Linked DNA regions of Arabidopsis thaliana. The protein of the gene in region 1 interacts with the protein of each later gene in a biochemical or structural test. Each region holds a gene or a part of one and is shown on either strand. Other genes may lie near its edges. The genes, in order: HSF1, TBP1 and CDC2.

What was found.
Region 2: the proteins of HSF1 (region 1) and TBP1 form a complex in vitro, tested with the Arabidopsis thaliana proteins (one study listed by BioGRID).
Region 3: the proteins of HSF1 (region 1) and CDC2 form a complex in vitro, tested with the Arabidopsis thaliana proteins (one study listed by BioGRID).

What each region holds. Positions count from the first base shown.
Region 1 is NC_003075.7:9,866,462-9,876,549, forward strand, and holds HSF1 (heat shock factor 1), read right to left. Parts: upstream 5,186-10,088; 5' UTR 5,143-5,185; coding exon 4,810-5,142; intron 4,663-4,809; coding exon 3,508-4,662; 3' UTR 3,357-3,507; downstream 1-3,356. Other genes in the region: SYP23 (syntaxin of plants 23), read left to right, coding at 1-63, 235-256; AT4G17740 (Peptidase S41 family protein), read right to left, coding at 627-752, 855-948, 1,030-1,127, 1,227-1,335, 1,429-1,470, 1,547-1,622, 1,714-1,832, 1,904-1,972 and 5 more; AT4G17760 (PCNA domain-containing protein), read left to right, coding at 5,359-5,475, 5,549-5,638, 5,725-5,879, 5,958-6,078, 6,165-6,284, 6,372-6,442, 6,568-6,796. UniProt on the Arabidopsis thaliana protein: Transcriptional activator that specifically binds DNA sequence 5'-AGAAnnTTCT-3' known as heat shock promoter elements (HSE).
Region 2 is NC_003076.8:4,456,654-4,468,502, forward strand, and holds TBP1 (telomeric DNA binding protein 1), read left to right. Parts: upstream 1-4,186; 5' UTR 4,187-4,525; intron 4,526-4,900; exon of another isoform or gene 4,901-5,011; 5' UTR 5,012-5,040; coding exon 5,041-5,124; intron 5,125-5,212; coding exon 5,213-5,927; intron 5,928-6,014; coding exon 6,015-6,188; intron 6,189-6,276; coding exon 6,277-6,330; intron 6,331-6,405; coding exon 6,406-6,485; intron 6,486-6,585; coding exon 6,586-6,827; intron 6,828-6,949; coding exon 6,950-7,270; intron 7,271-7,358; coding exon 7,359-7,422; intron 7,423-7,513; coding exon 7,514-7,702; 3' UTR 7,703-8,084; downstream 8,085-11,849. Other genes in the region: AT5G13825 (uncharacterized protein), read right to left, coding at 8,446-8,550, 9,047-9,316; AT5G13830 (FtsJ-like methyltransferase family protein), read left to right, coding at 10,710-10,787, 10,872-10,958, 11,047-11,109, 11,187-11,285, 11,396-11,633, 11,725-11,834. UniProt on the Arabidopsis thaliana protein: Binds specifically to the plant telomeric double-stranded DNA sequences 5'-TTTAGGG-3'. At least 2 repeats of telomeric sequences are required for binding. Induces DNA bending.
Region 3 is NC_003074.8:18,066,984-18,078,562, forward strand, and holds CDC2 (cell division control 2), read left to right. Parts: upstream 1-4,470; 5' UTR 4,471-4,688; intron 4,689-5,203; 5' UTR 5,204-5,254; coding exon 5,255-5,263; intron 5,264-5,336; coding exon 5,337-5,521; intron 5,522-5,605; coding exon 5,606-5,726; intron 5,727-5,821; coding exon 5,822-5,995; intron 5,996-6,251; coding exon 6,252-6,415; intron 6,416-6,613; coding exon 6,614-6,701; intron 6,702-6,803; coding exon 6,804-6,857; intron 6,858-7,223; coding exon 7,224-7,313; 3' UTR 7,314-7,658; downstream 7,659-11,579. Other genes in the region: AT3G48760 (DHHC-type zinc finger family protein), read left to right, coding at 8,919-9,029, 9,461-9,643, 9,761-10,057, 10,157-10,390, 10,496-11,101. UniProt on the Arabidopsis thaliana protein: Involved in the control of the cell cycle. Essential for both G1/S and G2/M (mitosis) phase transitions. Functions in cell morphogenesis as well as cell proliferation.

The DNA.
Region 1 (10,088 bases):
AACTGCCCAAGGAAAATCCCATCTCGTAAGGCATCAAAGACACAAAGATCAAATTCTTCTCTGGTAATATATTAAAGCTTTTGATCGTACCATGAAATGTGTTTTTGAGGATTTTGGATGATCAGATCAGCCTACTAACTTCTTCTTTCCATTGTTTTTTCTTTTTCTTGTAGACGTGCTTGCTCTTGGTGATTTTTGGTATCGTGCTCATGATTGTTATTATAGTGCTCGCAGTTTGATTTCCCCAAGCTCATAAAAGCATGGACAAGTGCTTCATCATCAATCAAGAAGCATCAATGAGTATATGTTTGTCACGACTCTCTTTGTTCCTACAATTTAGTCTGTTGGACTATTGGTCTCTTGTTTCTTGTTATCGAGTATATAGAGTAGTTCACTTTGGTTTGATTTGGCTTGTGTTTGCTGAGTCTTGGTTCTGAAGGAGAGAGTGTTACTGCTTTGTCTCTGTAATATAACTTGGTTCTGAAGGAAAATCCTCTGTTTGTGTTCTTAAATGTGAAATTTCTGGTTTCGATTAGCTAAAGCTATGGCGAATCTTCAAAAGTACAAAGCTTGAGTCAATAAATTTTAGTCATATGTTGTCAGAACAAAGTTTGAACAAAACAAAATCATCTAGAAAAAAGTAGGCCTTGATTGAGATAACAAGCAGCTGTAGGATCCTTAAGGCATCCACAGAACGCCTCTTCATCTTTCGGAAACGACTTTGGCAATGGATGATCAGGAGTTACACCGACCTATACAACAACCAGCAACGAGTCAAGACTGTAAGAACATGTTTGTATGTAGTGTAGTGTAGACACAGAGGGGGTTACTACAGGAAGAAAGTAGTTTCATACTTTGTCTATATCTGTGTGAGCTGGTGTTTCATATCGAGCAACTGTTACTGCCAAGCCCGAACCATCAGAAAGCTCAAAAACCGACTGTATCTTGCTGCAAAATGCGTTAAAGTCTCAGGAATTTTACGGTTCGGTCTCTGAGAAGAAGAATAAAAAATAGCGCCATTTTGTTTACCCTTTTCCGTAAGTTGGTTCTCCATAAACCAGAGCACGTTTATTATCTTTCAAGGCACCTGCTAATATCTCGCTGGCACTCGCGGTGCCTTTGTTAACCTGGAAAAGAGAAAGATTGTGTGAGAATGAAATCTTTCATGGCATTTACAGATTACAATAAGGACTAGATTTGAGGAAAGGAAGGATGGAAGCTCATACAAGAACGGCAAGAGGCTCAGAGGTTGCTATAGCATTGCTTCCATCAGTATCATATATATCTCTAACACCTCGACTATCGCAAATATACACAATCACTCCTTTATCTAACCTGTGGATAGCAAATGTTGAAGTTTCTATTATGATAGCTGTGGATCTTGAAATTTTCTAATTCGTTATATGTAACGGTTTATGAGGTTATTACCAAAATTTAGCAATCTCAATTCCTTCTGGGAAAGAACCTCCACTGCAGCAAGAACAATTTTTTTAAGAAAGGCTGTTGCAAAAGCAAAAAAGAGTTTATGTTCTCAAAAAATCATCACCTATTGTCTCGAAGGTCCAAGACGAATGCGTTTACATTGTTGCCTCTCAAGGTTTCAATAGCTTCCCTTACCGCACCTACAAAAAAAGTGTTAAGACTTTGAGAGATAATAAACTAGAGAGTAGATAAATTTGTAAGAAGGAATCAGTAATGCCAAAGAATACATACTAGAAGCATTTTGATTGAATGTTGTTAGCTTGATATAGCCAATCTTAGGGGAGTTACTCCCAGAACCAGGAAGTTCACATAATCTTGACTTCACTGGATTCACAGAAACCCGCTCTCGCCTGAAATAACAACAATTGTAGTTACCAAATGAACGTGACAACGAAGATAAATGTAGGCATGAGAGAAATACGTCAAAGTTAAGAGTCTCGTTTCAGGTCCACTGCGAATCGCTAGCTCCACTGCACTTCCTTCAGGTCCCCTGCATTTCAACCAAAGCATTATCATCATTTCTTACTTCAGAACCATTAACTCGTCACACTTAGATTTTTCAAAGTTAAGGAATGATGAAAAATGGAAATGTAACTCACTGCAACATCTGTGCAGCATCGTATATGGTAAGAGTTTCTGTGGTTGTATTATCAATTCCTTGAATAACATCGCCAGGTAATATCCCCGCCCTATTTGCAGGACCTCCTGGAGCAGCTGATATAACAACAAGCCCAGCTGGTGGTCCATCTGATGCAGTGGGGTAACCTATCGACAGCCCAACACCCGTAACCGCCCCTTGAGTCCCCGACTGCCTTCAACCAAACCATTTAATTACTAGATCTTACATACAGTCTATTTGCTAAATTCAGAACTGTATATTTTCAGGAAATCTTACCCGCAAACTCTTGAACTTTCCGGGCTCCAAGAATCGAGTAAAAGGATCATCTAGTGTTGCCACCATTTTCTTGATAGCCATGTCTAAACACAAACCAACACCAAATTTAGAAGCAAGTTGTACTAATTTTGTAAAAGGTTAATAAAGCTATTCACACATACATGTCTCTTCTCGAGTGTTCATAGGCTCATTTCGTAAAGCAGTCTCTCTGTAACGAAACCAGCTTTGTCCATTAAAGGTTTTATCAATATAAGCACGATCAATTGTTCTCCAAGCCTCGAGGAAGAGAAGATTCTCTTCAGTAAGACCCCCTAAAGAGACAGAGAAAAAAAGCCACACAAATGAAATCAAATTGCATTCCCCGAAATTTATATGGTTTCTCAACATGTAAAAAAAACAGAACTTACATGATGGTGGTGAATCAGTGGTAACAACAGAAATGGAAGAGACAAGCAGAACAGAAACGATCCGAACTAATGCAACAGAGAGATTCTGTCTGAAATTAACAGAAGATTTCATCATAACCTTCCCAGATAATTTCCTCTGATCATTTCTTTCGATAACACACAGAAATCTATTACAGACGAACACGACTCCTGGGTTTGCTGCATTGCTCCTTGAAATGTTACTACGACTACGAGCATAACTAAATTTGCTAGCTTTTGAAATCTTTGGAGGTTGTTTTACCCACAATTTCACCTGCAAAGGTTGAAAATTCTATTACACAGCTAAACGGACACAAATTGGGGAATTGCAGGAGAGAAACTTAAAAAGGAGTCAACTATACGAAAGAAAAGTACCTGGATTGAGAAATTAGGGTTTATTTTGTTAGGCTTAGTAAAAGAAATTGGGGATAATGAAGAGCTCGCAAGGACCTCCATTGAAAAGAGCTTCCCCGGGAAAATTCCAACTCTGTTTTTCTTATCGAAAAAGGACTACAAATATGATTGGACAAAGTAGTCACTTTCTACAATAAATTAGAAAAAATGGCATTTTCTTTTTAATAATAAATACAACTCTTCTATTATCCAAGGAAAGATTTCTGCACAAAGTTGCAACCGTACTACTGAGTCCTAACGATAATGTTAGTAGAGAAAGACTTTACAATGGATACTAAACATAATCCTTTACTAGTGTTCTGTTTCTGATGTGAGAAGACCCAATTCTTCTATAAGCTTATCCATATGTCTACCATTTGTGTTGTTGTTGTTGTTGTTGTTGTTGTTGTTGTTGTTGTTGTTGTTGTTGTTGTTGTTGTTCTCTAGTGTAGTTGCATCTCCAAAAACTGGGCTTTCTGGCATATATTCTTCAAGGAATTCAAAGTTACTCATTAGTTCATCAATCTCGGGGTCTTCGGGTATTCCCTCAAGCTGAATCGGGACTGAACCACCATCAAGGAATGGGCTTGGAGAGATGAATGCCTCTGGAACATTCTTCTCTGTATCCATGAAGTTTTCTGTAGGGAAGTCGTTGATACTCTCTCGTGTCAATTGTGGTATCTGGGAAGTCTCTGGCATTATGGTATCCGGGAGAGAAGTTGAAGTAGAGGGTAAGTATGATAAAGGCTGTCCTGATGGTACAGATGCATATGCCTGTGACTGTCCTGAAGTTATGGGTAGTACCTCTTGAAGAGTGACTCCTGATACCTGGTTTGGAGATGAGAACCCGTCAAGAAACGGATACTTATCATCTGTTTTCATCATGTTCCACATCATTGAATCGTTTCTAAGTGGCTGATACTTAACTATCTGTCCATCTGATGCTTCCAAGCTATGGCTATGACTATTACTCTCAGTAGCAGCAGTACTATCCTCTCTGAGTCTCCGCTTCTTATTGGCCTCGGTTACATGCATATTACTATCAGTCTGCTTCTGTATAAACTGAGAGAGGAAAGTAGGATTCTGTACAGCTTTAGCAAGGAAAGACATAATCTGTTGTTGCCTCTGCTCCATAACCTGAAGATGTTTAACCAAAACCTGAAGTTTATTATCTGTTGTTTGTTGCTGCTGGCGTAACTTAACGAGTTCCTGCATCAACACGTTTTTGTCTCTTTTAAGCTGTTCAACTTCTTCCTCTAACCCAAATTTCCCAACCTCAACACATGAAGATAATGCAGCCATTGAACCTTGACCCTGAGATAATTGCTGAGATTGTGGATTACTACTACTACTACCATGTCCCTGAACAGATTTTCTCCGGCTTATCTTCTTCAATAGATGTTTTTGACCTCTTAAGAAACCTTCATTAGCAAATTCCCATCGATCTGGATCCACTTTCCTAAAACCCTGTTCATCAAAATTGGCACATGAATCATATAAATCTTATCAAACACATCAAGCACTAAGATTATTCAACGAAATCATAATCTATACACAGTACAATTAGAGAAATCAATGGTGGAGAAATTAGGGCGCGAGAGAATTTATACTTACATAGGTGTTTAACTGGCGAACAAAGCTGGAGAAATTGTTGTGTTTGAAGTATTTAGGTAGAAGATCACGAGAAAACTCCGGTGGATCCCAAACAATGAAGCTATTGTTCGTCGGACTCCATGAGACAATCGCGTCCGTCGCCGGATCTTCCACCATGTCATACGTCTTGCTAAGGAAAGGGGGCGGTAAAGAGTTCGCATTAAGTAAAGTCGCTGGATGCGGATTCCGCGGTGGTGGCGCCGTCACAGCCTCGCCGATATTCGTTCCTCCGCCGGTAACACCGTCCATTTTCGTACGGATAAAGAAAGAGAAGTATTTGAAATTTACAAACATACCCTTTTATTTCTCTGTGACTCAGATATAAACGCGATATCATAAAGATGGGCTTTTATTTTTCTTTTTAGTTTGTGTGTGGGCCAAAAAGATCAACTTTATTAATAACTGGGCCTGCTAAAACAAATATAATAATAATCAATTTAATTGCTATATTGTCGGCATACATTTTCTGGCGGGAAAGCAGAGGAAGGAGAGTGAGAGAGAGAGAGAGAAATGAGTTCGTCCTCGTCGCCGGCGATTGAACCAGACACACCGGACCTGATTTGCCAGCTCGATAATGTTCAAGGAATGGTCGATGCACTCACTTGCGTCCGATGGAAACGCCACCAGGTTTTTATCTCCATCCTCCCCAAATTCAATCTAGGGTTCTTCTTTGATTTTCTGAAAACTTCTCCGTTTCCAGGATGCTTTAGTAGAATTATCTGAACACGGAATAGTTTTGATTGTTGAAGAATCAGGTTGTCTTCAAGCCAAAGTTTATCTTCAACGCGAGGTATCGATTTCTGAGTTTATCTTAAATTTTCTAAACCCCTAAAATTCGATTGAATCCGAAATCTGTTTGATGTGTTATATGAGTAGCTATTCACGAAATACGAGTATGGAGCTCAAGGTAGGCCGAGATTCGGAATCAGCTTAGGGCTTCTTGTTGATTGCTTGAACACATTTTCATCACCTGGACATTCTAATACTATAGAAATCAAGTATCCAGGACCTGATATGGAGCTTCTTCTCAAGTATGTGTACTATGATCCTTTGCTTTGTGAATATACGGATTACGAGTAATTAGCTGATTGGTGTGAGTGTTTGATTAGATCTGTTGATACCTTAAACTCTTGCATCTACTCTGAGATAAGAACTAGAATTCCCGAAACTGTTACTTGGGACTACAACTTTGAGCAGGCGGGAATCGCGCCACTTACTTTTACAGTAAAGGTAGTAACATAGTTTAGTATCGTTTTTCGTTTAACATTGTTAGTCTGAGCTTTTTCTCAAATGGTAATTGATAATGTATCTATCAGTCAGCGGCGTTGAAGGAAGCAATAGATGATCTTGAATGGCCTGGTTCAAGTGTACAGATCAGTCTTCAAAAGGAACCCCCTTGTGTAATCTTTAGAGGAGAAGGACATGGAGACTTGCAGGTCTTGTTTCTCACTTGTTTCTTGGTGATGTATATTATCTTAATGTGAAAGAATCAAGGAACATATTTCGATCTATCCTCTTTGCAGATAGACTTCATGTATTATGCCAACACAGATCTTCTCCTTGCCTTTCATTGTGATACCGAAGTCTCTTACGGGTAACAATGAACTCAATTCTTTCTCTACCGTAGCTTTATGGTTAAAACACACGCTCCTACGCTTGATTTACCAATCAAGAATAGTAGCCAGATACATTTGCTAAACTTCTCATTGTTGATTGTAGGTACAAATACAAGTTTTTGAAAGCAACAACGGCAAACATACCGGGAAACGTAGTGAGAGAAAACAGGGGAAGCAAACTAACAATAGGAAGAGGAGGAATGTTGAAAGTTCAGCACTTGGTTTCAGTTTCTAAAGCTTTAGCTCCACAAGTGGAATCCGCAGGGTATCAGCCACCGAGTCGGATTGCTTATATAGAGTTCTTTGTGAAGCCTGAAGAGCCTGCTGATTAATAGATTTTCTCCTTCAGTTACTTTATCTTTGTAATTCTAGTTCTTCTTTTTAGTCAGTCTCTCAATACTATCAGTATCAGTATCAGAAAGAAAGAAAGAAAAAGTTTAAGGCTTGCAAAGAAAAACTGCGTGTGGTTTCACTAAATTAGCTCAGATGTCTCGTCGTTTAGTGTTATATCGCTGAACGACGTCGTGCAGTGGAGACATAGGTATGTCATACCGAAAAAAGAAACCGGGTGTATAGTTCGGGGGATTGAACCCGACGTGAATCGAACACGCAACCTTCTGATCTGGAGTCAGACGCGCTACCATTGCGCCACGGATCCGGATGTGTAACATGTATATTTTACTATTTAATATACAAGTTAAAAATAGCTTCACCGTTATAATTTGATCTCTGATTATGATTGGCGAAAATATCTGAGATGGGTTGGTGTTGGTTGGATCAAATAAATAAAAATTGTAAGCAAAACCTTTAAATGTTCTAAGCTTGACACGTGGAGTTAAAACAGACGTCCAAGTAGCTTTCTCACTATTTCAAAGTTGGTTGGACTTTTTTCTCATGATTATTAAATCACACTCAAAAGAGAAAGAAATATAAATGACTCGAGGCCAAACACCAAAAAAAAGTCTTCAAAATATAATTTTAGAAAATCATATGATTATGTTGACAAAAAGAAAAAGTAAATCGTATGATTAGTGTTTCTAATCTTCTTAAGAAAATGATTACGTTTGTTAAAGAAGAGTTTGGGTGATGATTTTATACTAAAGTTAGCAGTTTGTGTGTTTTCTTTAATCATTTTTTGTAAAGAAAATTACCAATAATGTTGACATGATATCATATATCACTACCATCTATTGGAAATAGTTTATAGAAGAATAATTAAATGAATCGACAAGAACTCACACATATACGCAAATTGTTATGTATGTGCACCTAATGTAGATTTGTAGGCATTATATGGTGGGGACGTGTTACCATTTATATTGACATTAATGATGGTATTGACACTTTTGTGGACCTAATCATGATACAAACATACATCAATGCTGCTTATATAATATACTTATATGTCTATGTCGCGCACACACACCCACACATATAAACGGTGGGAATTTATCGAATGATATGCTAATCATTTCTGTATACTAAACGTACAATGTCTCATTTGTGTATGTATATGTACCGATGTACGTATAAACCAATGTATATAGATGTATAGACCAGAGAGACCTAATATACATGGAAAAAATTCTTACTAGAGTTAATAAAACTGATGAACCTAGCGAGTCACTGAGACATGCGAGAATCTCTCCTTTTTGAATGAACTATATATAGTCTAATCAATAACATATTAATAAATTTACGGCAATTTGCACCAATTTGATAATCTAATCATATATTCTTTGTCGGGTTGATAATCTGAAAGGACATTATAAACAATGAGAAATATAAATCCTATTATATACGAAAGTATAAACAAATCATTCCTTTCGAATCTTGACAACCAATAAATCCTACCCTAAGAGATTTAATTATATATTGATTAGAGAAATGTATTGTATTCTTCGAAACATATGCTCATGAGCACGGACACGGTATATTGTTTTACTGATCATCGGTTTAAACATTTGAAATTTTGAACTTACTATCTACATATGTCTTCGGTGAACAAACCTTTATACGGATTGATAAATAATACTCTTCGAATTTATTAATCTTATTAAGCCCACTTGGCGTGAGAAGAAGGTATATAAATACTAATAGTAGTTGAAATATACTACAATAATTACTAAAGTAACTGCAGTAGTTAAGATTTAATTTAACCATAGTCAACGAAATCGACGCTGATATTGATATTTATTGGAATTTCGACTTGCGAGCCTCTTCACATGAATTTAGGCTTTGAAATTAGAGTTATGATCATTGAAGTTAATGTAGCGATCCAAGCTTATTATTTTAATTTTTAATAGCATTTCTAGTAGTAGTAGATAGTGAATTTAATTTGGACTGTCCAATTTCTTTTATTAATACATAGCTGATATTATGTATTTTATTGAATTTAAATTTGGATTTTAAGTTACGAAACAAATACAAATTTAGAAGTTTCATATTGATTAAAAAAACTTATTGCTATCCAAATTATATTAAAAAAAACTTATAGCTATCGTTTTATAATTCGAAAACAAATTTAAACTAAACATTATATTATATTACCTTCATTTTAATTACATATTTACCTAATGACTATTCCAGCAACAATGACATCATTAGTTCAATTGCTTTAACCATTTGAATTCTTATATAACAGGGGAGAAAGACAAATTAAACTAGATACGAACTGTGTTCCTCAATCAACAAAGACATCAAGAGATTTGTTGTCTTTTCACTCACAAATTATTAAAGTTAAACATCAAAATTATTATTTATAGAAAACGACCACTGATCAACATTAATATCATTTTTTTATTGCATTATTCTAATGCCTAGCTTATTTTACACACCCAACAACAAATCTATCAAGTTTCTAATTCCCAACCTTAAATGATGCGTATTAGTAGAAACCAAAAGAATGTGATTAAATAGTATGTTTTAATACCTTTGTCTCCTATGTTTGGTTATAACCACTTGTAAATATATCTTCCTAAAACATTTAGTCACATGAACTAAGATAAATAATAATGTTGTTTATGCTTATGGATGCTTTGTATATATCTATATTTAAATCCCCATAATAAATATTTTTACAAAAAATAAAAGAGAAACTAGTCACATAAAAAGAAAAAAAAGAAAAATTTATGTAGCAAAATATAAAAATTGAAAAAGTTAATTGGCGTGTATTTTCTTTAACAAAATTCATATTTCGACCTTTTTTTCTTTTATAAATATTGTGTACTCATTGTCATATGGACTATCAATTACTTCCATTACATGATTGGTCATAAAAACCAGAAAACTATTGCCGTATGGAGAGAAAGCAGAGAAGAGAATCTTCCAAAAATGTTAAATCTTGTGAAACAAATAAAGCATAGCAAAGCAAAGTCCAAAGTCCAATGAGCTAAAACAAAATCAAAAAGGTTTCTTTATGTTTTTTTTTTTGAAGTAAGAAAAAAAAAGAGTTTATAAAGAAACAGTGGAGAAATAAATAGCAGAACAAAGAGAAAGATCGGAGAAAAGAATCTTTTTAGGCTCTCTCTCGCAGACTTCGCACTCACACACTCACTTCCATTGCTCCAAAAAAGTGAGCTTTTTTCTTCCTTTTTCCTATTTTCCTGATCATCTTCTTTGCAT
Region 2 (11,849 bases), on another chromosome or scaffold:
TTTCTCTTTTGATGTTTCCATTGTTGTGTAGAACAGTGAATGATGCTGCCACAAGTATCCGAAAATCTCTTTTGGATCAGCAGCATTTCACTTTGGGTTTTTTAAGGTTTGCGATCAACGGTAATGGGAATGCCGGTGATCGTGGATTTAGTTTATGTATGTGTTTGCTACTAAGGGCTAAATGTAATTGTGTAATCAAAATGTCTGAAACGGGTAGTAAGCATTTTGACTCTTGTGTGTCAATGTTGTGAAAGACAACTGTGTTCTTATGCTATATATTTGATTGTAAATATTTCGTGTGTTTATGGGCATCTTGTTGATTACGACAGTAATTGGGTGGTTCTACTCGCTTGATCGTCTTTTTATGACAACTTGGTTAGAAGTTTTCTACCGACATAATCCTCCATCGTTCTTGTTCGCTAACTCTCAAGTATGATCAAGGGCTCTCAGAACCAATTTATTGGTTGAGCGTAATTGAATGTTGGTGGTTAAAACATAACATATAAGACAATCATGTATCATTGACAATATTCTAATCTTGATTCCGCAAACATTCATGATTATATCGGTGACAAGTCCATAAGAAAAGGGTCATACTTCATTTTCGCATTTGATAAACTTTTGTTTCCGGCAAAATTACTTATTAGGTGAACTCAACATTTAACCTCTATTTCCGGCAAAATCATTACCTTAAAAGAAACTAATTCATTACTCATTCCAACGGACCAACTAGTCCTTTTGGCTTAGGTTGGAGCCAATCCGATAAGTTTGGAGAAATGACAAAATCAGACGTGGTAAAAGTGAACACTTGCATCACTAGTTACTTGATTTGTTTGAAGAGAGGTGTGACCTATAAGGAAACTATCCAACTCTTTCTAAAATGTCAAAGAGAGTTCTGAGGCTTTCTTAAGAAAATGCATCTATCCTACCTACGTTATTAGGTCCAAGAATAAATATTTGCAATCAGAAGCAAATTTCAATCTTGAAAAGCCCAAGTGTATAAAACGATGAGGCAACCTATCTGAAAACTCAACGTTTAAAAAGCCCAATATTGTTTTTGCCTTATTGTCATCATTATACAGAGAAGTATATGGTTTCTTTAGCTACTTGTTTTCTTATCTTTTGGCACGAGGAAATCCTTTTTACGTTTGAGTTTGCAACTTTCCTTCTTTTATAGTTTTAGTCAGAATTGACGGTTATAGATTGTTTTTCACGCAACGTTTTTTCTTTAATTAAAAGGTTACTTGAACAGTTGAACTACTTCTTACTAGTGGTATCTTCTTCACTCACGCATCCACCCCCCACTTGGACCCACTTAATACATACCTTACTTTATTATTCCGGTTTCCGACCCATTTTCAATCATAAATTCATAATCAAAAAATTTGTCCTATATGGAAAATTTATGTTTCTATCGACCGTGCTTCAAGCAAAAACCAAAGTTTATTTTGTATGATCGTGAATCTGAGAACGGGACGGCTCGATCGACTCTACCGTGTTTTTAGTCGAAAGGGTATAGTATTGAATTATTGATAGCTTTGGATAACCATGTTGTTTTTGCAATGTGACACATTTTGCCTATGTCGTGCTCGTGCTCGTGCATGAGCATGATCGAACGACTATGTGGGTGCTATCAATTCTTAGTCAATTCTGCATAAAACATTATGATTTCATGATTTCATACATTTAGGATGGTGACAATGTACTCAACAACTACTTATGCTGGTTTTGGCCCCAAAAAAACATCGTTTTCTAGTGTTTTGGAAACTCGTTAATTCGACGACCTCGCCCAATACGGATATGTTTGACGCGGCATTCATGTCTTGTCTTAATTGGTATGCTAAATATTATTCCAACCGTTAATATAAATATTTAGAGTTATGATTTGACTAAAAACATTAATTAAAATATGTATATTTCTTTTTTTTTTTTTTTCTTTTTTTTTTTTTTTTTTTTTTTAAAATATGTATATTTCGTAATAGTATTTCAAGTGTTAGTGTGCACTAATTTAAATGATTGATTTTTCTTGTAAGAATATTTCAAACTTTGAAATTAACTCTAGAAATCTTATGTAATGAAAACAAAACGAAAGTATATAGAATCACGATGAGATTAACTGGCTAAAAAGTAATCATCTTTCATACAAATTTGCTATACATTTTTTTAATAAGGACTTCTCTTTTAATGTGTAGGAAAGATGAAATCAAAACACACCTATAGATCTATTTTCCATAACACACAAGATCTGAACACGAAAAACAATTGTTATACCAGATATATACAATAGTGTTTTTTTTTTTGGTTTGAATGATATATACATTTACATATATATAAACACATATATTAACGTATAAAATATTACAGGAAATTTGATTGGAAATGAAGTCCAAGTTGAGTAAGTTTTATTTCAACCACCTCAAGGAATATATACGGCCTTGAAGCATACGTAACCATCTCAAAGGCAGTTTCAAATCAAACGTAGATGTTAGGGTATAATGTAAGATATTGAGATTCTTGTTGGCTAACGGAATATTATATCAATATCGAAATGTTGCCAGGATATGAGAACCATGTGATGATGATATATACGTGATTGCTTTTCTTCAACTTGGTGACAGAGAAAAAAAAAAGTTTAAAGGAGAAATAAAAGAACAAAAGCTGTTCAACCCAACCGAATTAGCTTGCAAACGAGTAAAGAGCAGATCTATGCCTCATCCGCTGAAGCATAATGCATGAAATGCTAGAATCCAACTCTCTTCGGTTTTTGTGCTATTATTTAGGATATTTCTGCCTGCTACACATTCGTTGTCGATATTTGAAAAACATTGGGATCAAAAGACATCTTATATGAATAAAAATATATTTGTTAATTGTTATACATAATTTGATGTTATTTTGACATACTATGACAATACATATGTTATCGTCACCGCAATATTAATTAACTGTTTTCGTCAACAGTGTATAAATGATTCCCATAACATTATTAAACGTTGAATGGTAGGAAGAACAACTTGGTATGTTATATATATAACAGAGATCTCATATTATAAAAGTATGAAAATCATGTGTGCACATAGACTATATCACATCTACATGAAACACAAACACAAACACATGGATTTCTTCTAAACACAACGACATGGATATAAATCCAGTGTTATCGGCGTATTAAAAAAATAAGACAATGTATGAGTGTGACAATCAACCATGTGAAATCTTGTCTTTCTATAAATATACTAGTTTAGAACTTTTTGTTTTATTTTATTTATTTGTTATTTTACTATATCTTAAGATAAGCTTATGCCAACTGACTTTCAAATTAAAATGGAATATTCTCGTTTTGTTAGGTGGTTGGATCTCGTTTTATTTAAATTTTCCTATATCCGTCTTACCGAGTAATTTAACATTTTTTACAACTAAGAATATGCTCTTTTCCGTCCAATTGGGAATATGCTTAACAACACTATCATGGATGATTATCCTAAATGTACAATAAATTTACTACTTAATCTTCATTCATGTTATCATGTTAATATACTATTGAAGGATTCCATTGTAAACTATTTCATGGATGATAATCCTAAAGTGTCTTTGGCTTCCCCAGTCAATATTAAACAAATTCAACGCAAACTTTTTAATAACAGTAAATAAACTTACCCAACATTAATATTTGACCAATAAAAAGTCATAAATAAAGCTTTGAAAATATTAATGGGGAAGAATTCAATAGTTTTCGAAACATCTTAAACCTTACTCTACCTAATAACTAGACTTAAAAGCAAAGAATCGAATTAAACGAACCACCCCACTCTTCTGCTAATAGGCAAAAACAAATTCCAGGTGTAAAAGCACGTCAGCAAGAGAAAACACGTGGACCAATGATGTAAAAACGTGCACGGAACAGTAAAAGAAGGGATACCACGCGGTATCACAGCCTCATAATATTCCCTTCAAAATGGGAATATTATAATTATTATCCAATCCCGAAATTAACTCTCTTTTTTTTGGTTCTGACAATGACAAACAAAATAGGTTTCGTGTAGTAAGAGTATCCTCCACGTGTCATTAAAAACAAAAAAAATGGTTCGAAGAGTGACTGGCTCTACCCGGTAAATCCACTATCCTTGAACTGCCACATCCGGTCGCGTGGTTATTATTTATTTTATTTCCTCTACTTACAAAAAAAAAATGGTGTATTTATTTTCTTCAAATGGGGGTTTAAGCTTTTTTTCAGTTGTTTGGTTTTTTCTTTTTCAAAGGGTTTAATGTCTTCTTCTTCTTCTTCTTCGTTATTTCTATTCTAGAAGAGAGAGAGAGAGAAAGACAAGGACGATCGTTAAATCTTTTTCTCTTAAATCTTAGAATTTCAAAGTCTCTGTAATTTTTTTCTCTTTTCATTTGTATAGCACAATTGTTCTTAATCAGAGATTCGTGAGAGGTAAAGGTAGCGTAATTATTCAGTTTGCGTGATCTATAATTTAACTGGCGCCAGATTGTGATCCAGGAATCGTTGGCTTGTTAGGTGAGTTTTTTTGTTCATCACAATTCATGTTCTCAATTCTGTTTTTCTGATCCACAAACTCAATTCATGTTCTGTTTTTGGTGACAAAAAAGTATTGAATCTGAAGTCGAATAAATTATTTGGCGGTTTGTCAGAAGTTGGCAATCGAGATCTGATTATGTTTTATTGTTTGTTTCTACGTAAATTGTGAGCATTTAAGTTACATTTGTTTCATTGATCTAAGTTTTTGCGTTTCATCTATACGTTGCTTGTTTCGCTGCATTTTTGCATGTTTTTTAAAAAACAAACAAAGTGATCAAGGGTTTGGTGTTCATTGTTGATCTGAATCTGTATAGGGCTTAGTTTTATCTTCCTGATTTTTTTTTTTTTTTTGCATTTGACCTCGGATCTGTTGATCATTAGTTTAAGAATGTGTTCAAATTATACTGATTAGCTTAATTTTGTTGGAGATGATCATGACATTAAAAGTCTTTGATTTTTTTGCAGGTTGTTGTTTTGTTATGCATAATTGAGAGATGGTGGTCAAAAGGAAGTTAAATTGTGGTGGCTCTAATGGTTTTGATTTCCCCAATATTCCCAAGGCTCCTCGTTCAAGCAGGGTAAGAGATCATGGTCTTCATTTTTTTTGTTTTTTTTTTTGTATGCTTTTGTAATACGTCTCTGATGACTTTTGTTTCCCTTTTGTAGAGGAAGGTCTCAGGTAAGAGATCTGATGATGAAAGTGAGATCTGTGCAATTGATTTGCTAGCTTCTCTTGCTGGAAAGTTGTTGGAAGAAAGTGAAAGTTCCTCAACGTCTACCTATGCATCTGAAGCTGATAATCTTGATCATTTGGGTGGACTGATTAAGCAAGAACTTGAAGATGGCTATACTACTAAGCCTTGTAAATCCGAGTTTTTCGATCCAGGAAACCCTGCTTCAAAGTCTACTAGTGAAAATACTAGCGTGACTTGTTTGCCATTTTCGTCTTTCGAAAATGATTGCATTTTGGAGCAAACACCGGTTTCTGATTGTAAGAGGGCATCTGGTTTGAAGTCCCTGGTAGGGAGCATCACTGAGGAGACATGTGTTGTTAATGAGGATGCCGGATCTGAACAAGGTGCTAATACTTTCAGCTTAAAGGATCCAAGTCAATTACATTCGCAGTCTCCAGAATCGGTCCTTCTGGATGGCGATGTGAAATTAGCACCATGCACGGATCAAGTCCCTAATGATTCTTTTAAAGGATATAGGAATCATTCTAAGTTAGTTTGCAGAGATGATGACGAAAACTATTGTAAGTATTATAAATTTAGTGACAAATGTAAGTCATATAGGCCTCTCTCCCGGGTTGGCAATAGAAGAATAATGCAGTCGGTGAGAGCAATCTCCAAGTTGAAGTGTTTTGAAGACACTAGAACAGGTTAGTATCATATTACTGTGTTTCTCCTTGGTGCATTTCTTTTTAGCTGCCGCTCTGCCCTTACTTTGCTTGCGGATATATTTCTAGATGGTCGTTTGAAGGCTCTCTACCGCAAGAGAAAATTATGTTATGGTTACAACCCATGGAAGCGTGAGACCATTCATAGGAAGAGAAGATTGTCTGACAAAGGTTTGGTCGTAAATTATGATGGTGGGCTCAGTAGTGAAAGTGTTTCCAATTCACCTGAAAAGGGAGAATCAGGTACATATTAGTCTATATCTAGATGGTTTATTACCTTGGCTGATATGGTTTTGATTTCATGATTTTTTTGCTTCTTTGTTGAATGCAGAAAATGGTGATTTCTCTGCTGCAAAAATAGGTCTTCTTTCGAAAGACTCCCGTGGTATATGATCAGTTGATAATTTACTGACTTATGGAGACATGATATGTGGGTCTCATGTTATTTCATTGTTTGCAGTAAAGTTCAGCATCAAGTCCCTTAGGATTCCGGAGCTTGTAATTGAAGTTCCAGAAACAGCAACAGTAGGCTTACTGAAGGTGCGTGATTAAATGTCTTTTCCTACCGGTCTCTGTAGATGTTTTGGTTCTGCTGTGTACAATGATGAAGTGTTATTTACATAAACCTTTTTGGTTGCAGAGGACGGTGAAGGAGGCGGTTACTGCTTTACTCGGTGGTGGAATACGTATTGGGGTGTTAGTCCAAGGGAAAAAAGTTAGAGATGACAACAACACTCTATCACAGACTGGTCTTTCGTGTAGAGAAAATCTTGGCAACCTTGGCTTCACCTTAGAGCCTGGTTTGGAAACACTGCCTGTACCTCTTTGTTCTGAAACTCCTGTCCTTTCTCTGCCAACTGACTCTACAAAGTTGTCAGAAAGGTACTAACAAACGTGATCTTATATATATATATATATATATTTGTTACTGCAAGTTTTGCTTGTGTATGGATAAATTTGAAGCTCTAGAGATATACCTAAGGACAATCATTCGATCTTGCTAGGTCCGCAGCTTCTCCAGCGTTAGAGACTGGAATTCCTCTCCCTCCCCAAGATGAAGATTACTTGATTAATTTGGGAAATAGTGTGGAGAACAATGATGAATTAGTCCCACATCTGAGTGACATACCAGCTGATGAACAACCTTCATCAGATTCAAGAGCGCTGGTTCCAGTTTTGGCCTTGGAATCCGACGCTCTTGCACTTGTTCCAGTTAACGAGAAACCTAAGCGTACAGAGCTTTCACAACGCAGAACCAGGAGACCATTCTCTGTTACAGAGGTAGAAGCTCTAGTAAGCGCAGTTGAAGAAGTTGGGACTGGAAGGTAAAAAGACTGGTTTGGTTGATGAGGGTTATTAATACAATAATTTGGTTATGTGGTCAAACTAATGATAGATATTCTTATTTCACAGATGGCGTGATGTGAAGTTGCGTTCTTTTGAGAATGCAAGTCATCGAACCTATGTGGACTTGAAGGTATGAGAACACATATCAGAAACTGGTCAAACACACTTTTGAGTCTTAGCCACTACATAAATGGTTCCAATAACTTTGTGATTTGTTGCAGGACAAATGGAAAACGTTGGTTCACACAGCAAGTATATCACCACAGCAACGAAGAGGAGAACCAGTGCCTCAAGAACTGCTAGACAGAGTCTTAGGAGCACATAGGTACTGGACACAGCACCAAATGAAACAGAACGGGAAACATCAGGTGGCTACAACAATGGTGGTTGAAGCAGGTTCGTCCATGTAAAGAAGGAGAATGGTAATAACAATAACTTTCACTTGACGACTAAGGAACCAAAGTGGGCAACTGTACAAAGGGAAACAACAAAATACAGAAACATACTTAATTTCTGAAAAGAAGAGTCTATATTTTTATTTTTTTTAAATCATAGCTGGTAGAAACAAGACGTTCCTTGACACTTTTGGTTACTTTTATGGTAAGTCTGTTCATTCCAAATTTCTAATTGATTTGATTATGTAATTTGGTGGTAGGACCATGGAAAAAGGGGAAATGTAATTTTAGACAATTCTTTTATTTTTTTGTTCATCATTCCATTCAATCTAATATCTATGGACTATGGCAGTGACTGGTTTTCATCAATCTCTAAACCATTTGACAATACTTTGTCGGCCATCGTCTTTCCTTCGTTCACATTGGGTTCTAAATATTTTGGATTCTATTGAGAATGGGGTTTTGGATTAACAGGGCCCAACTACTAAAGTTGGCTTGCTGCACTTTTGCCACAATCCCTCTCAAATTATTTATTTAGCAGTAAAACACCAAATTTAATCTTGGTTACACAATATAATATTAACCAAAATAAACAAAGAAGATTCAATTCAACTAAACACCAAAACAAGAAAATCCTCGATTGATTGTCACATTAAAAAAAAAAAATGTTTCTTTATCTAAATAATTTGGATTCGAAATTTTTAGCCACTTACATAATAGAACCATCAATTCCCAACAAATTAGGTCTACTAAATAGATTACTTTCGGAAGACGACTATTGCGCGCGATTTTTCAATATCTGCATAGATTTGATCCACTTCTCCACGAGTATGATACATTTGCCCTAATGGATCATAAAAATACTGCACATTGAAAACTAAACAAATATTAAAATCTGTTATATTATAATGTACATTGAAATTAAATGATAAAAATGTGTGATATATATAAACACACACATATAGAATGAAGAATCATATATGCAGTAAAAGCTAAGAGTTGACAAAAAAGAAGAAGTAAAAACTAGGATAAAAACTAACATTTGAGTGAGCTTGAGATTTAGAGAAGAAACTATATGCATGTGCATACATTTTTCTTGACTCGGGTCTCGAAACTATACTTTAATCATACTTGCCAAATCAAACATATATTATCTTGAAAAATGAATACAATTCTCATAGAAAGAGAGATTCTATCCCAAAACATAGATTACTAATTCTTAAAACTAATGAATTTTTTGCGGTGACAATAGAAGGTGAGTCTAGTAAAAAAATCTAAATCAACATGACAAGAACAACTAAACTACTACCACTTAGTTGATAGCATGTTAATTTTCCATCAAAAGAAAATAATAGTTACCCGGTAGAGTCGGTCATAGACCTTAAGACGCTCCTCAGCGATCCAACCAGAACGAAGCCAGTTGTAACGAGGACATGTATTATCAAACACAGTAGAAGACGTATTGGGGATTTTATTCAATTGTCTTCTGCGACTCACAATCATCAACGTCTCTTTCCCTTCTCTTGACAGATTTGCAACGCTGCTCTCATAACTGATCACATCCGATGATCTCTTTTGTCGTGGACGTTTCTGTCGTCGATGTCCAGAACTACTAGATTCAGCCTCCATATCTTATCCTTGTATTATCGTCTTGTTACACTTTTATCTTAACGAATTTCAAGTCTTTGTATTTACACAAAACTTATCACCTTAAGGATACAATTGTGCCATGTGTTTTCTCATCTTCGTTGGTTTTGCACATTGTATAGAAATATATCTTAAGGAGATTACAAAATCTCCAAATACATTAATGTATTTCTTTTTTATTTTCGTTATTCTGCACTATATATAGAAAAGTATCTTAAGAAATTTACACAATGTCCATAATACATTAATGTATTTATTTCCATAAATAAAATTATGTATTTTTACACTTAATACCAAACATAAAATAAATATCAATTTAAAAAATGGTTTAATGAATTTCTCTTTAATTTGTTTTATTGAAGTTTTGTTTTTGGAAAGTTTGAGTTTTCTTTTTCTGAATTTAATTAATATTATTTAACGTTAAATTAATAAAATTTTCAAGTTGAGAAAATGGTTACATTGCTGTAAAACAAAATTAATTAGAAGATAAATCAAGTATATAGTCCAAGTTAAGTTCCAAAGGATTTCACCAATATAACATTAATTTATCATATATTATTAGATGAGTACTCACATATATGTAAAAACCTCTCTAATTATAATTTGTATTGGTTTATCTTAGGAGGGGTTATTGGTCTATTGATTTGTAAATCTATATAGAGTTTGAAAATCTCTATTAATTATGAAATCAAGATATATGAATTTTGAAATAACATGTGTTTACCCATGGATTTGAATCCTTTTATTTTTCTCTTTCAAATCCATTCAATTCCATTTAAAACATAATTTGGATTTTCAAATCAAAAAACAAATGACTAAACGAATAACAAATGATTTTAACTAGTATTTATAAATCATCGAATCAATAACACATGATTTTAATTAAAATTTTAAAATCAATGATTGAATAACAAATGATTTTTGTTTGGAATTTCAATTCCTTATAAATCTATAAACCAATAACCCCTTCTTAGTCTTGCATCCTTGAATATACCCTGTTGACATAGATGTAAACTTGTTTATTTTTTGTTTGTGTTTAAATTGAAATATCATTGTTTTTTTTTTGTCAAGGTTGAAATATCATTGTTAATATCATCTTTTGAATACTTTTCACATAGAGGTAAATAGTAAACTTGATCAACTTTCAAATTTTTATCCTCCTAATTAATAATACTTTTCACTATTATATTTTGTTCACTGTTAAGAATGAGTAAAAAATTTGCAGTTTTTGATTTAAAATAGAATTATCCTCGCTAATATTTTTTTTGACTAGTTTGCAATATTTAAAAATGTGGACATTTTAGGGTTTATAAGGTTTTGGTAAAACAACAAAAAAGGAAGCAGAAGACATCGGTTGTTGTCGGCGCCGGAGGAAATGAGTGGGGCAGGTGTACCGGACTTTTTCTACAGAGAAGCTCAACGTCTTGGCTATGTTGCTCGCTCAGCTTTCAAGGTCAATATTACATTCATACCCTCCTCAGCTTCGTCTCCTTCTTCTTACATTGACTCTTCTCTCTGTCTGTCTCTGCAACTACAGCTTCTACAGATTCAAAAACAGTACAAGCTCATCAAACCAGGCTCCTCTGTTCTTGACCTAGGTTGCGCGCCTGGTGCTTGGCTTCAGGTCTTTTTTTGAGATTCCATAAGTTACAAGTTTCGAATTCTGTGTAAAGAGGCCTAAACTTGAATTTTGTTGCTATGATTCGGTGCAGGTTGCTTGCCAAAGCTTAGGCCCACTTAGAAGTGGTGGAATTGTCGTTGGTATGGATATAAAGGTCAGAGGAAGCTTCAAAAATGTAATCTTTTTGCTCTAAACTGTGTGAATCCATGAGCTTTTTCAATTTCAGAGCAGAAGGTGAAGGTTCCTCCACAGTGTGATTCTCGAGTGCAAACCATTGCTGCTGATGTTTTAAACTTTCCCAGACAAAAGATTCGGGAGTTATCACCTCAGGTTCTGAAACTGTCTCTGTGACTTTATTAGACTTGGTTCTAAGCATGGTTGATGTTTTTGTTTTCTATAAAACTGTTGTAACACAAGTTATGGACTGCTTTGTGGTGCAGCAATTGGGATTTTCAGTCATTCTTTCAGATATGTGTCACTCAGTATCTGGAATAACCACTAGAGATGCAGCTCTGTCTGCTGAATTGGGAATGCGAGCACTTGATTTGGCTGTTGGTCAAGCTGCCATCTCTCAGTCACCTAATGATGATGATGGAGGCCCAAACGAAAGTCGTCCTGGTGTACTTAGGCATGGTGGCCATCTTGTGATCAAGCTTCTAGAAAGCGAGGATGCTCAAGGTACTACTGGAAAGAACTGTATAACATTGCTATACAATTGAAAAATGCTTCTTCTTCCTTACATTAACACTTTGTTTGTCTTTTCGTTTAGATTTTGCTCGAATTTGCAAGCCTATCTTCAACAAGGCATCTTGGTTGAGGCCAAAAGCTACAAGACCATCATCTCGAGAAATTTACTTGATTTGCCAGGGATTTCGATAATTTAAGCTTTCATAT
Region 3 (11,579 bases), on another chromosome or scaffold:
TTTTATTTTTATTTAATCTTATACTTGTTCGCATGATAGAGAAATTATTGAAGGCTTTATTAGCCTTTCTATGAGTGAACATTCCACTCTTCTTGAAAGAGAACAAGATAGATAATATCACAGCTTTGTTTTTTTTTTCTATTCAATTCTTTTCTCTCCTTTTTCTTTTGTTTTTAGTTTTTAATATTTCTTCTTTTCTTATTGCGTTAAGAAGAACATATCTGATTTTTATGGTCTTCCCCAAATTTGGTGCAACACTTGGCAACTTGGGTAGTTGCATACTTTTTACTCATCTTTCCTAATTTTCAAATCTTTTTTTTTGGGTGTGCATATAAACATTGAATAATAATATATAACTGTGTATATTTATTTGCTAGAATAAAATAATATAGATGACTAATTAAGAAAGAAGACAATTAACATTTAAAATTATTTTTGCCTTTTTATTATTTTAATCTTCACAATTTAGTAATGGAACATATTACACAAAATTTATATTTATGCATTATCCAGATATCATATTGCCTTTAATGATTAGGAAATTCTTGTTAGAAACGAAATTCTAAAATAAATAAAACACACTCGTCATCCATTAAGGGCAAAACGTTTAAAAGATTTCTTGTCTTGTGTACAGTTGGCCGGCAGCTTTGGTGCACCAATTTTTGTCCCTCTTTTTTCCCATTGTTATTATGCTATTAATTTATCTCCTAAAAGATTATGAAATCATACATATTTACACGTAAACCACATTCTCTTAATTTAGCTAGTATTTTAGTTAAGAGTGTAATCTCTTAAATGCATTACGATAATATTTTTCTAAGTGTGCAGATAGTATATATAGAAACAAAGTCTTATCTACTCGTAAACTAATTCACATTAACTACTACTTGAGATTAAACCAATATAAGTTTGCTTCGGTTTGAAACAAAACAAGAGCTTGCCACTTTGTTGCGTTTTGACAGTTCTTCTCATGGTTAATATTTTTTGATCTTAAATGAAAAAGTATGATATTGAATAATCCCTATATCTTAGATAAACCTTAAAAAGGTATAGCTTATGTAGTCAACAGTTTATAGTAAGAGGCCTATAGGAGTTTATACAAAATTTATACGGATTAATGTAACTCACTATCTCATGTACTATGAAATATCATTAAGGAAACAAACAGTTTTCGATTTTTGTTGTTGATGTTAATTTGCTCATTTTTCATACTAAAAACGACTTTGCATTGTATTTAGGGATATTTGAGATATTGAATTATTTTTTTTCGTTTCCAAGGAGAGTCTCTTTTTAGTGTTAATAATGACATATCCTATTGCCTAGGGGCCTTGCTTGGCAACTAGAGAGGAAATATCGAAATCTTCTTCTTCCTTTCATTTCCCTTTTCTTTTTTCTTTTTTTTCTTTCTTTGTTTTATTTTCCCTTTTCTTTTTCAGTACAGTTGTTTTCGATATATATATATATATATAATTATAATGATGTAATGAGAAAATTATTGATTTTGGTGAAATATCAAAATATCTATATGATTTTCAAGGTTGACAAGCGCATGAGATTTAGTTATGATATTTTAGCAGTAAAGTTATGTCTACATTTCATAAATGTGTCCGAGTATTTGCTATTTTTAGCATATAAGATTAAGCCAAAAACTCATATTTTTAAACGTAATACAAAAAATGACAATAAAGTGTATATATAGATGTTTATGTTTTTTTTTACTAAACAATAAAAATAAATAGAAGGGAAATTAATTAATACTATATTGTAATTGTTCTCTTATATCACTTTAAAAAATGAAAAAAATATGGTCACGGTTAAAAAAATGAGTTTATAGGAAGAAATGGTAAATGTTTTTTCAAAAACTAGTTTTATAGATTTTAGAAAGAAATTAAAACCAATTTTCTAAAATTGTAAATGGATAGTTAAGTAATTAATTTCTACGAAAATATAAAACCAATACACTTTAATTTAAAACTATACTATTCGTAAAAGTGTTATGTAGTGTCTCATTTAGCTACTCTAGATGAATTTATTTTCTTGTTAATCGTTTTCAGTAACCGGTATATAAATAAAAGTTTCGTATGTGAACCACTCGGTTCTATGGTGTAGTGGTTAGCACTCTGGACTTTGAATCCAGCGACCTGGGTTCGACTCCCGGTAGGACCTTTTTTTGCTGATTGACTATTTTTTTTTGTCACTGCCATGTTTCTTTTTTCTTTGAGACTTTGACGACATTTCAATTATTTTTTTTGTTTGGGCCTTCAACTTCTGTTTTTTTTTTGTCAGGACTTACGACCCAATACTTACAAGGGTGATTTGTAGATATAGCACTTTTTCACTAAATAATTAACTAACTAACACCATAAATTTAAAAATGTAGTAAATAACCTTCAAGGGGTGTGAAAAGACATCACTGTCCTGCTGTTACGTTTGGCAGCGAAGAAGGAGAATGTTTAGTGTGAGCTGACGTGGCTTTATTATTGGTGTTGAGGTGAGAAAAGAAATCAGGTGGTAGGATAGAAGTTCCATTTTCTCTTACTTTTTTCTTTACCCCTTCCCAATTGTAATTCATATTATCTGATCTTAAAAAATTTAATTCAAGTTCATGATATATCAATTAAAAAGTTGTATAGTTTTCTACATATATCATGACTTAAATTTTTGAAAACAAACATAAAATAATTTAGATGTGAATAGTGTTGTCAATGAATAACATAAAGTTCTATATAGATAAACAATATTTTTTTATAGAAAGATATTAAACCCTAAAGGATAATATATAGAGAACCCAAGAGTTTAAATCTAAACCAATAATTAAATCACTTAACATCCTTAATCAAAACAAATAATTCATTTTAAAACGTATATAAAACAAAGTATACGTAAATAGTATATTTACAAATAGAATAGTATCTCTCAAATTGCAACAACGAAACTCAATTTCATCACCAAGACACCAAGCGCAACAACGAAAGTCGATTCCCTGAATCCAAATTGTGTTCCTCCCTCTGTAATTCGAAACCCCCAAATCAAATCTCACCCAAAAGTAATTAAGAGACTCTGATTTGAAAACAAAAACAAGTAACGAGGTAGGTGTAAAGACTTTACTGGGAGAAAGAGAGAGGGAGAGGGAAAAAGAAAGAGAGAGAAAGAGAGAGGGGGAGAGAGAGAAAGAGGGAGGGAAGATAGAAGGGAAGAGAGAGGTAGACGGAAAGAGAAATGGAGAAAAATAGATAAAGGGGTAAACTTGGAATTAATATACAAAATATAGAGGATATCAGTTCTTTTTCCTTTTGATGTTAGTTTCTTAATTATAAACTTTTTGTTGGTTAGTTTTGCCAATTCCCTTACTTACAACTGATAACCGTATAGCTCTTTTATCAGAAAAAACTTTATATATCTAATCTCCCAAAATATACAAATGTGAGAAATATCTGAAAATAAATCAATTCTCACCAATTATATATATTTGATTACTTAAAAATGTTAATATATGGCAGTTGCTTGTTCAGAGAATAACTTAAAAAATTGATCACGAGATCGGCTTATGTTTAATATTTTTGAACTCTTGGGATAAAAGTTTTGAAGATATATATATCGTAGAAAAGTTTTGTGTTCTTTAATTAGTTACAAAATTTTGAGTTTTTTTTTTTTCTTTCATAAAGTATCAGAATATCAGGGTGATTTATTGAATAGTTTATTTTTTCTCGTTCTACTCACGTTATTCTTGCAAGTATTAATTTTGGTTTGTTTATAAAAAAAGTATTTGGAAATTTTATGTGAGCAAGTGCGAAATAAACGAGGATTTTGGGAAGTATTTTTTTTTTTGTAAAATCGGTTATATTGAACGTTATACTATATATATTATTATATAAATATAACTGCTAAAGACTAAATTTAGATACTAAAATCAGCATTGATGAAGATCCACATGAATAAGACTCGTCTCTTAACTCAACATTTAACATATGATTTTCATATTATTGATCATTTATCTTTGTGTTGGTCCAAGGTGCCAGACTTTATTATTTACATTAAATGTTGAGTTGTTTACTGACATATTTTTTAATTAAAACAACTTTCATATTATTGCCCATTTATATTTTGGTTGGTCCTCCAAAGACTTACAGGATACATATGTTTCTCCATTTTCATTTTTATGATCTAAAACGTCTTTTTCTAACTTAGATTCTAAATGGTTACAGCAAACCGGACATACAATTTTGCTTGTCAAATGGATCGTTGAGATAGACAACAATCCAATGTAAAACCAAAACTCTTGATTTATAATTGGTCTGCAATGATTTTTTTTTGGTTCATATACCATTTTATAAGATAGCAAACCATTTTCATCATAAAAGATATATTTTTTTATCATTGAATACCAATCAAACCCGGTATAATAAATAAAATTGTACCAAATTAATGCGGTTAGGTAAATTCAATTTATTGGAAATTAAAGAAGAGAAAAAAAAAATAACGAACAAAATTTCCTTGACACAAAAAAAAAAAAAGAAGAAAGAAAAAACCCTTACTCTCAATTAGTCAATCCCCTTCCCTAGTCCTCCTCTCTTCAAGCTTTTCACAGAAAACCACCACCCTTCTCTCTCTACTGCCTTTTTACCACAGAGAAGAGAGAGGATCCGTCGGTGTGCTAGTCTCACTGACACTACATCCGATCGTCGCCGGTAAGTTGATTTCGTTACTCTCCGATCAATTTCTTTTCCGGAGGAGGAACTTGTTTTCCGTGCGAAATTCTGACTTGAACTTTGTTGTCAATTCATCAAACGCTTTATCTTTTCTCCATCTTCAATTATCTTACTGCTTCGTCGCTGATCTCTACTTGTTTTCCTCCGTTTTGCATTTTCAGTGGCGTTTCTTAGTGTTTCACTAGATTTAGACTGGTTTTGCTTGTGTGCATTTTGTCATCAGTGTTTATGATTGTTCGCTTTAGCTCTATGTTTCTATGGATTTGATAATATATGAGTTCGCTGCTCTGGATTCAGCTGGCTTGTTTGATTGTTCATTTTCATAATTCTGTCCAAAGAATCAAATCCACAGTAGCTCGGATCTGAGATTGATTTGTTTCTTTGCGTCTTTGTGTAGATTTGACTTTAATTTTGAGATTGTTGTGTGCTGATATACAGCTTAATTAATATAGCCTCTGATGTGTTATTATCGATGTGTCATTATCAATCTACAGGTGACATTTTATAAGTGTGGAGTTTACTTCAGCTTTATTATTCAGGAATTGATGGATCAGGTTGGTGTAAATAGTTGTTTCAGTTCTTACTCTTTTGACGAGAGTCTCTGTTAATGTGCTCTTATTAATGCAGTACGAGAAAGTTGAGAAGATTGGTGAAGGAACTTACGGTGTGGTTTATAAGGCACGTGACAAAGTGACTAATGAGACAATTGCTTTGAAGAAGATCAGGCTAGAGCAGGAGGATGAAGGTGTTCCTAGCACAGCAATCAGAGAAATCTCCCTCTTGAAAGAAATGCAGCACAGCAACATTGTCAAGTATGATGTTAATACCATTGTTGAAAACTGATTCAGCATGATGACTCTGGTAAACAATTTTGATTGATGTTTTTTGCTACACAGATTGCAGGATGTGGTGCACAGCGAGAAACGTTTGTATCTGGTTTTTGAGTATCTTGACTTGGATCTCAAAAAGCACATGGATTCTACTCCTGATTTCTCCAAGGATCTACATATGATCAAAGTGAGTGCTAAGAAACTTTAGGCATTGTTTTATATATGTGCTTAAACTCAATACTCAATATAAGCTGATCAGAGCTGTTCATCCACTATTTTCAGACATATCTTTACCAGATTCTCCGTGGAATTGCGTATTGCCACTCTCATAGGGTTCTCCATCGTGATCTGAAGCCACAGAATTTGTTGATTGATCGCCGCACAAACTCACTGAAGCTTGCTGATTTTGGACTGGCCAGAGCATTCGGTATCCCTGTCAGGACATTTACTCATGAGGTACCAAAGAGCTTTATTCCTTGTTCATATGTTCCCGTTATGAAATCTTTTGGCTGGCTGCATTCCTTATGAGTGTAATGTAAATTAAGTATTATACCACTTATGTGTCTGATAAATGTGATGAAAAGGACTAAGCCATTTCACATAGACGGTTGAAGTAAGCTAGTTCAAGATACTGTAAAATATTTCAATGCTACATCCAGATTTCAGATCTCTTCCTGGTTATTCACACAATTTTTGCATATTGTTCCTTTAGGTTGTTACTCTCTGGTACCGAGCACCAGAGATACTCCTAGGATCTCATCATTACTCTACACCTGTTGATATTTGGTCTGTGGGGTGCATATTTGCTGAGATGATCAGCCAAAAGCCCTTATTTCCTGGAGACTCCGAGATTGATCAACTCTTCAAGATTTTCAGGTTTAATTGCTAACTTCCCCAGTCCAATATTCCTCTATATATTACAAGTGCAAAGACTTGTCTGCAATGATATCACAAGGGATTGTGGAAACATTTTCAACTTGATATCACATTTTGGAGAAGTAGTAAAGGACACAGAAATTGAATTGTTAACTGATTATAAATCTGTTACTGCCTTGTTTTGTTGTCTTCTTCTAGAATCATGGGAACTCCGTACGAGGATACATGGCGTGGGGTAACTTCTCTACCGGATTATAAATCTGCTTTCCCTAAATGGAAACCAACGGTACTTCAAATGTCTTTATTCGCTTGTACATCTTGTCTTCAGTAGTCAAGAGTTCACAACATATATTAATTCTTGCCCTTGTTTTTTTTTCTTATACCACAGGACCTAGAAACTTTTGTCCCCAATCTAGATCCCGATGGAGTCGATCTCCTTTCTGTAAGTTCACTGAGCTAGATATATACACACACATATATAGACACACTACTTCTGCTATTAGAGACCTGTATGCTTGATTGTGATGGATCTGGTCTCATGTTTCTTACTAAAAACCTTTTAACCATTTGAGGTTTTAGATGTCTTATAAAGTCATCAAGAGCCGGCGTACTAAAACCAATTCGATTAGGCTTCATAGTTTCAAAACCACATGAAGCCAAAACCAAACTTGTTTGAAATATGAACAATCTTCAAAAACCAGGATTCTTGAAATTCCTAACCAAACCAGACATCTGGATAGAAATCTAAGATTTTGAGCTCCTGTGAAAGCAAAGATGATAATATATCTCTCTGCTTGATTTGTTTCAGAAAATGCTGTTAATGGATCCGACCAAAAGAATCAACGCAAGAGCCGCCCTGGAGCATGAATACTTCAAGGATCTTGGAGGCATGCCTTAGAAAGGCATAAAACCAGTAATCTCCTTCATTCTATATATAATTATCAATCCTAAGAAAATGAAGAACAATATTAATGGGTTTTGTTTATTCTTTTTCTGAGTTCGTTTCCTACTTATATTCTATTACGAAAAAAAAGAAAGAAGAAGATTTCGAGTGTGTTTTTTTTTACTTCTAAGCTTTTGAGATCAGTTTCTTGTATCTTATTTTACCCAGAATATAGTATTTCCCTATATGAAATATGGTTTTTGTTTTGCAAAATGACCATATTATGCAACTTCTCAGCTTCTTGATTGTGCCTTGATAGTGATCTTTTGAAATATATCCCAAAAAACATCACTTTTTTCGATTTCATTAGTACTTATTTACGAGTTACGACGTCATTTGATAACTAGTATATATGGTCCGTCGATCTTAATTTCCTATTTATAAAGGGTGCACCGTTTTTAATGAGACAAGAGGGTCCAAGTAGCCAATCATTAATGAGACCAAAGTTGACCAGAAAAAGCTGACAAATAAATTGACGAGAAGAACAATTCAACACGTATTCGATAGTTTGGATTACATTTTACAGTTGGTCGAAATTCGAAGTAGATCAAATGTCAATAATCTAATTCGAAACTAAATGAAGGTACCTGATAACCATTTCAGTGTTAGTTAGCAGTGGTTTCAATCTATTCACTAAGCAAAGACGCTTCCATTCTGAAAATCAAGTCCAATGGGAGGCATAAACTTAAGTGTCTGAAAAACTCAAAAAAGCATAGCCTCGTGTAAAATAGACCGATCTATTTATTCATGAATATATGTATGATTATCAAAGTGCATTTATACTTTTTACGTTTTAAAATTTCGTATATAAACTTTCCTTAGTGAATATTATAACATAATTTCTAATGAAAACTTGTTATATATTATTATTTTATATATATTTTTGCCAAGAGTTATTATCATTTTAAAGTTTTAGACATTTTTACTTATTGTTGCAGAGCGCATTTTCTCTTACAATTTATCTATTAATCAATAAAATAATTATAGACCTTTTTAAAAGATAAATAGTAATTAGTATATAAAGTTATATTTAACAATAGTGTATTAATCATAAAATCAAAATACTAAAAAAAAAAATCAAATTCAACAGAAATAAATAGCACATTAATGATAAAATCAGAATAATTTTATTAAATCAAATTCAACAGCAATATGTCACCCCAAAAACTATATACTTATTAATTTCAATCAGTTTCATTGTCATTTACCTAATTAGTTTAAAATATATAGAAAATTATAAACGTGTAATGTCAAGACTGATTCCTCAAAAAAAAAAACCCTTACTGAATCTATTACACATCAATTATTCTGTAACAGAAAGAAAAAAAAATCATTAACTAATTACCATAAACTCCATTAGAAACTGATATCTTTGAAATTAGTTGACTCGTAAAAAGGGAAAGCTGCATTATTAAGAAACAAAAAACATAATTCTCTTTCTCTGTTCCCTCAAGTCAATAATTCCTTTTTTGATTTTTATTTTCTAAACCAAATTTATTGCTCTGAAGACTTTGTTTGTGTAGCAAAAAAAAACGCGATTTTTTTTCTGGGTTTCTTCCGATGTTAGATTTGCAGCCGTCAGATCGGCGTCATGGAGCTCCGAGTAGTAGCGGCGGTGTTAGTGGTGGTGATGAGCTGATCAGAACTTATAAAGGCTGGAAAGGCAATAACGTGAGCTTCTTCTTCTTCTTCTTCTTTATCTCTTTTATGATTGGTTTTTGTTTTTCTGGGTCAGATTTAATGTCTTTGAATAAGATCTGAATCAAAAATCCTAAGCCTTTTTGGTGGAATTACTCAGAAGTTGTGGAATAATCATTCTCTCTGTTTTTTTGCTGGGTTTGGTCATATTTTCAGAAGTTTAGAGTAATAAGTTTGACTTGTATGTATACCCTAATTTTGAGATTTGGTCTTGTTTACGCTGTCAAAGATGCTGGTCTCTTTCAAAATTAGAGCTTTTTGATGTTTAACACAAGTTTGAGTAAAGATTTACCTAGATGTGTGATCACATAGTTACAAGAGTCTTTAAGTTGTTAATTCAACTAGATTTGTAACATTTGTCAATATGTTACTGATCTTTGATTTATTCTTTTTTGTGTCTCCAGGTGTTCTTCCTTGGAGGAAGGCTCGTGTTTGGACCTGATGCTCGATCTATTCTCATCACCGTCTTCTTAATTACAGCTCCTGTCATTGTATTCTGTATTTTTGTTGGCAGAAAATTTATCGATGATTTTCCTCACCATAGAGGAGTATCAGTTTTAGCTGTTGCTGTTGGTCTGATTTTATTAGTGAGTTCCTTTTTCTCATGAATGTTTGTTCCCTTCTGATTCTGATTCAGCTCTCTACTGCAACCTTTTTACTCTTGGCATCTTGATAATAAAGGTTTAGTATTTGTTTGTCTACAGGATCTAGTATTTCTTCTTCTAACCTCCGCGAGAGACCCAGGGATAATACCACGTAATCTGTATCCTCCTGAACCAGAGAGTAATGAAGGCAATGGAGAACCACGTCTTGCTCATACTCCTCAGAGTCGGTTGCCTCGGACAAAGGATATGATTGTAAATGGAATTACTGTCAAGATCAAATACTGTGACACATGCATGCTTTACAGACCGCCCCGTGCTTCTCATTGTTCGATTTGCAACAACTGCGTCGAGAAGTTTGATCACCACTGTCCTTGGCTTGGTCAGTGCATTGGATTGGTAATGGATATTTTTTTTCCTCATCAAAAACCAATTACAATTGCATATACCTAGACGATTCAAGAGTAACTAACAGTTATTTGGGGGTTTTGATTGCAGAGAAACTATAGGTTCTACTTCATGTTTGTGTTGTGCTCAACTCTTCTCTGCATTTATGTCCATGTGTTCTGCTGGATCTACGTCAAGCGGATAATGGATAGTGAGAACATAAACATCTGGAAATCGTTTCTCAAGACTCCTGCTTCCATTGCACTAATAATCTACACTTTCATTTGCGTCTGGTTTGTTGGTGGGCTTACCTGTTTCCACTTGTACCTAATGAGTACCAATCAGGTAAAAATCATTACTCTCTAAAAGCTCCTTGTTTTGAAACTGTTGGATAATTTAGCTACTTGTTAACATTGTTTCTCTGTTGTTTATTATGTTGTGATTTGGCAGTCAACTTACGAAAACTTTAGGTATCGGTATGATAGACATGAGAACCCCTTCAACAAAGGAATAGTGGGGAACTTTATGGAAGTTTTCTGCACAAATGTTGCCGTATCTCAGAACAGTTTCAGAGAAAAGGTTTCAAAGGAGCCAGCAATACCACCAAGGACAGTAAATGGAGGGATGTCAAGCCCGAGCTTACAGAAAGTTTCCAACGACATAGAGATGGGGAGAAAACCAGTGTGGCACGAGACAGTAGAAGAAGAGCTCGGTGACATCGAAAAGGACATGGAAGCAGGGGTTGCATCACGGGATTTGAGCAGAATGCTTCCTCCAGAAGAATCTGAAGGACGAGGGATTATGCATTCAAGAGAGTCAAGCAGGGGACGCGGGATTATGCATTCAAGAGAGTCAAGCAGGGGAAGAAGAGGAGGGAGCTGGGAATTGTCAAGCCGTGTAAACGAAGATTTAAGAACCAGAGATGAGTCTGTGTCAAGAGTCGGTGAAGACAGCTCAGAGTCTTCAGACAATGATGCTTCAAGAGATTTACATGTTGAGATATATGATGCAGTAACAAGTAGAGGAAGAACCGGAACTGGTATAGGGCGGTTATAGTCTCCGGTTTAAAGCCAATTACACTAAGAAAAAAGGTTACTGAAAAAAGTAAGGAGATTCAAGATTGTGATTCAGGTTTGTTTGTTTATTTACGACATTGTAACGTGTTTGTGTAAAGTATTTGTTCAAAGGATAAAAGCTTTCAAAATTGCTGGAAAATGAAACAACTCAAATATTTCATTTTGAAATAGAAACTTTAAAAGAGTCATTATGTTGAGGTGGGTAAAAGAGCCTAATGCAGCCTGAAACCAAATTGAGCTGCTGCCCACATGAAGTCCGAATTTGAAAAATATGATGTGTTTCGAGTTCTAGTGGGTTAAACCCGATAAATAGAACGATATTTTTTGATGTAAACTACCTAAAATATGCTAACAATCAAGAGTTTTTATGGCACTGATCAAAATGATTACATTATATTGGTTACAGTTATTAACTAGCCATACTATAATCTCCGAAAATGTTACTAAATGGAAACACC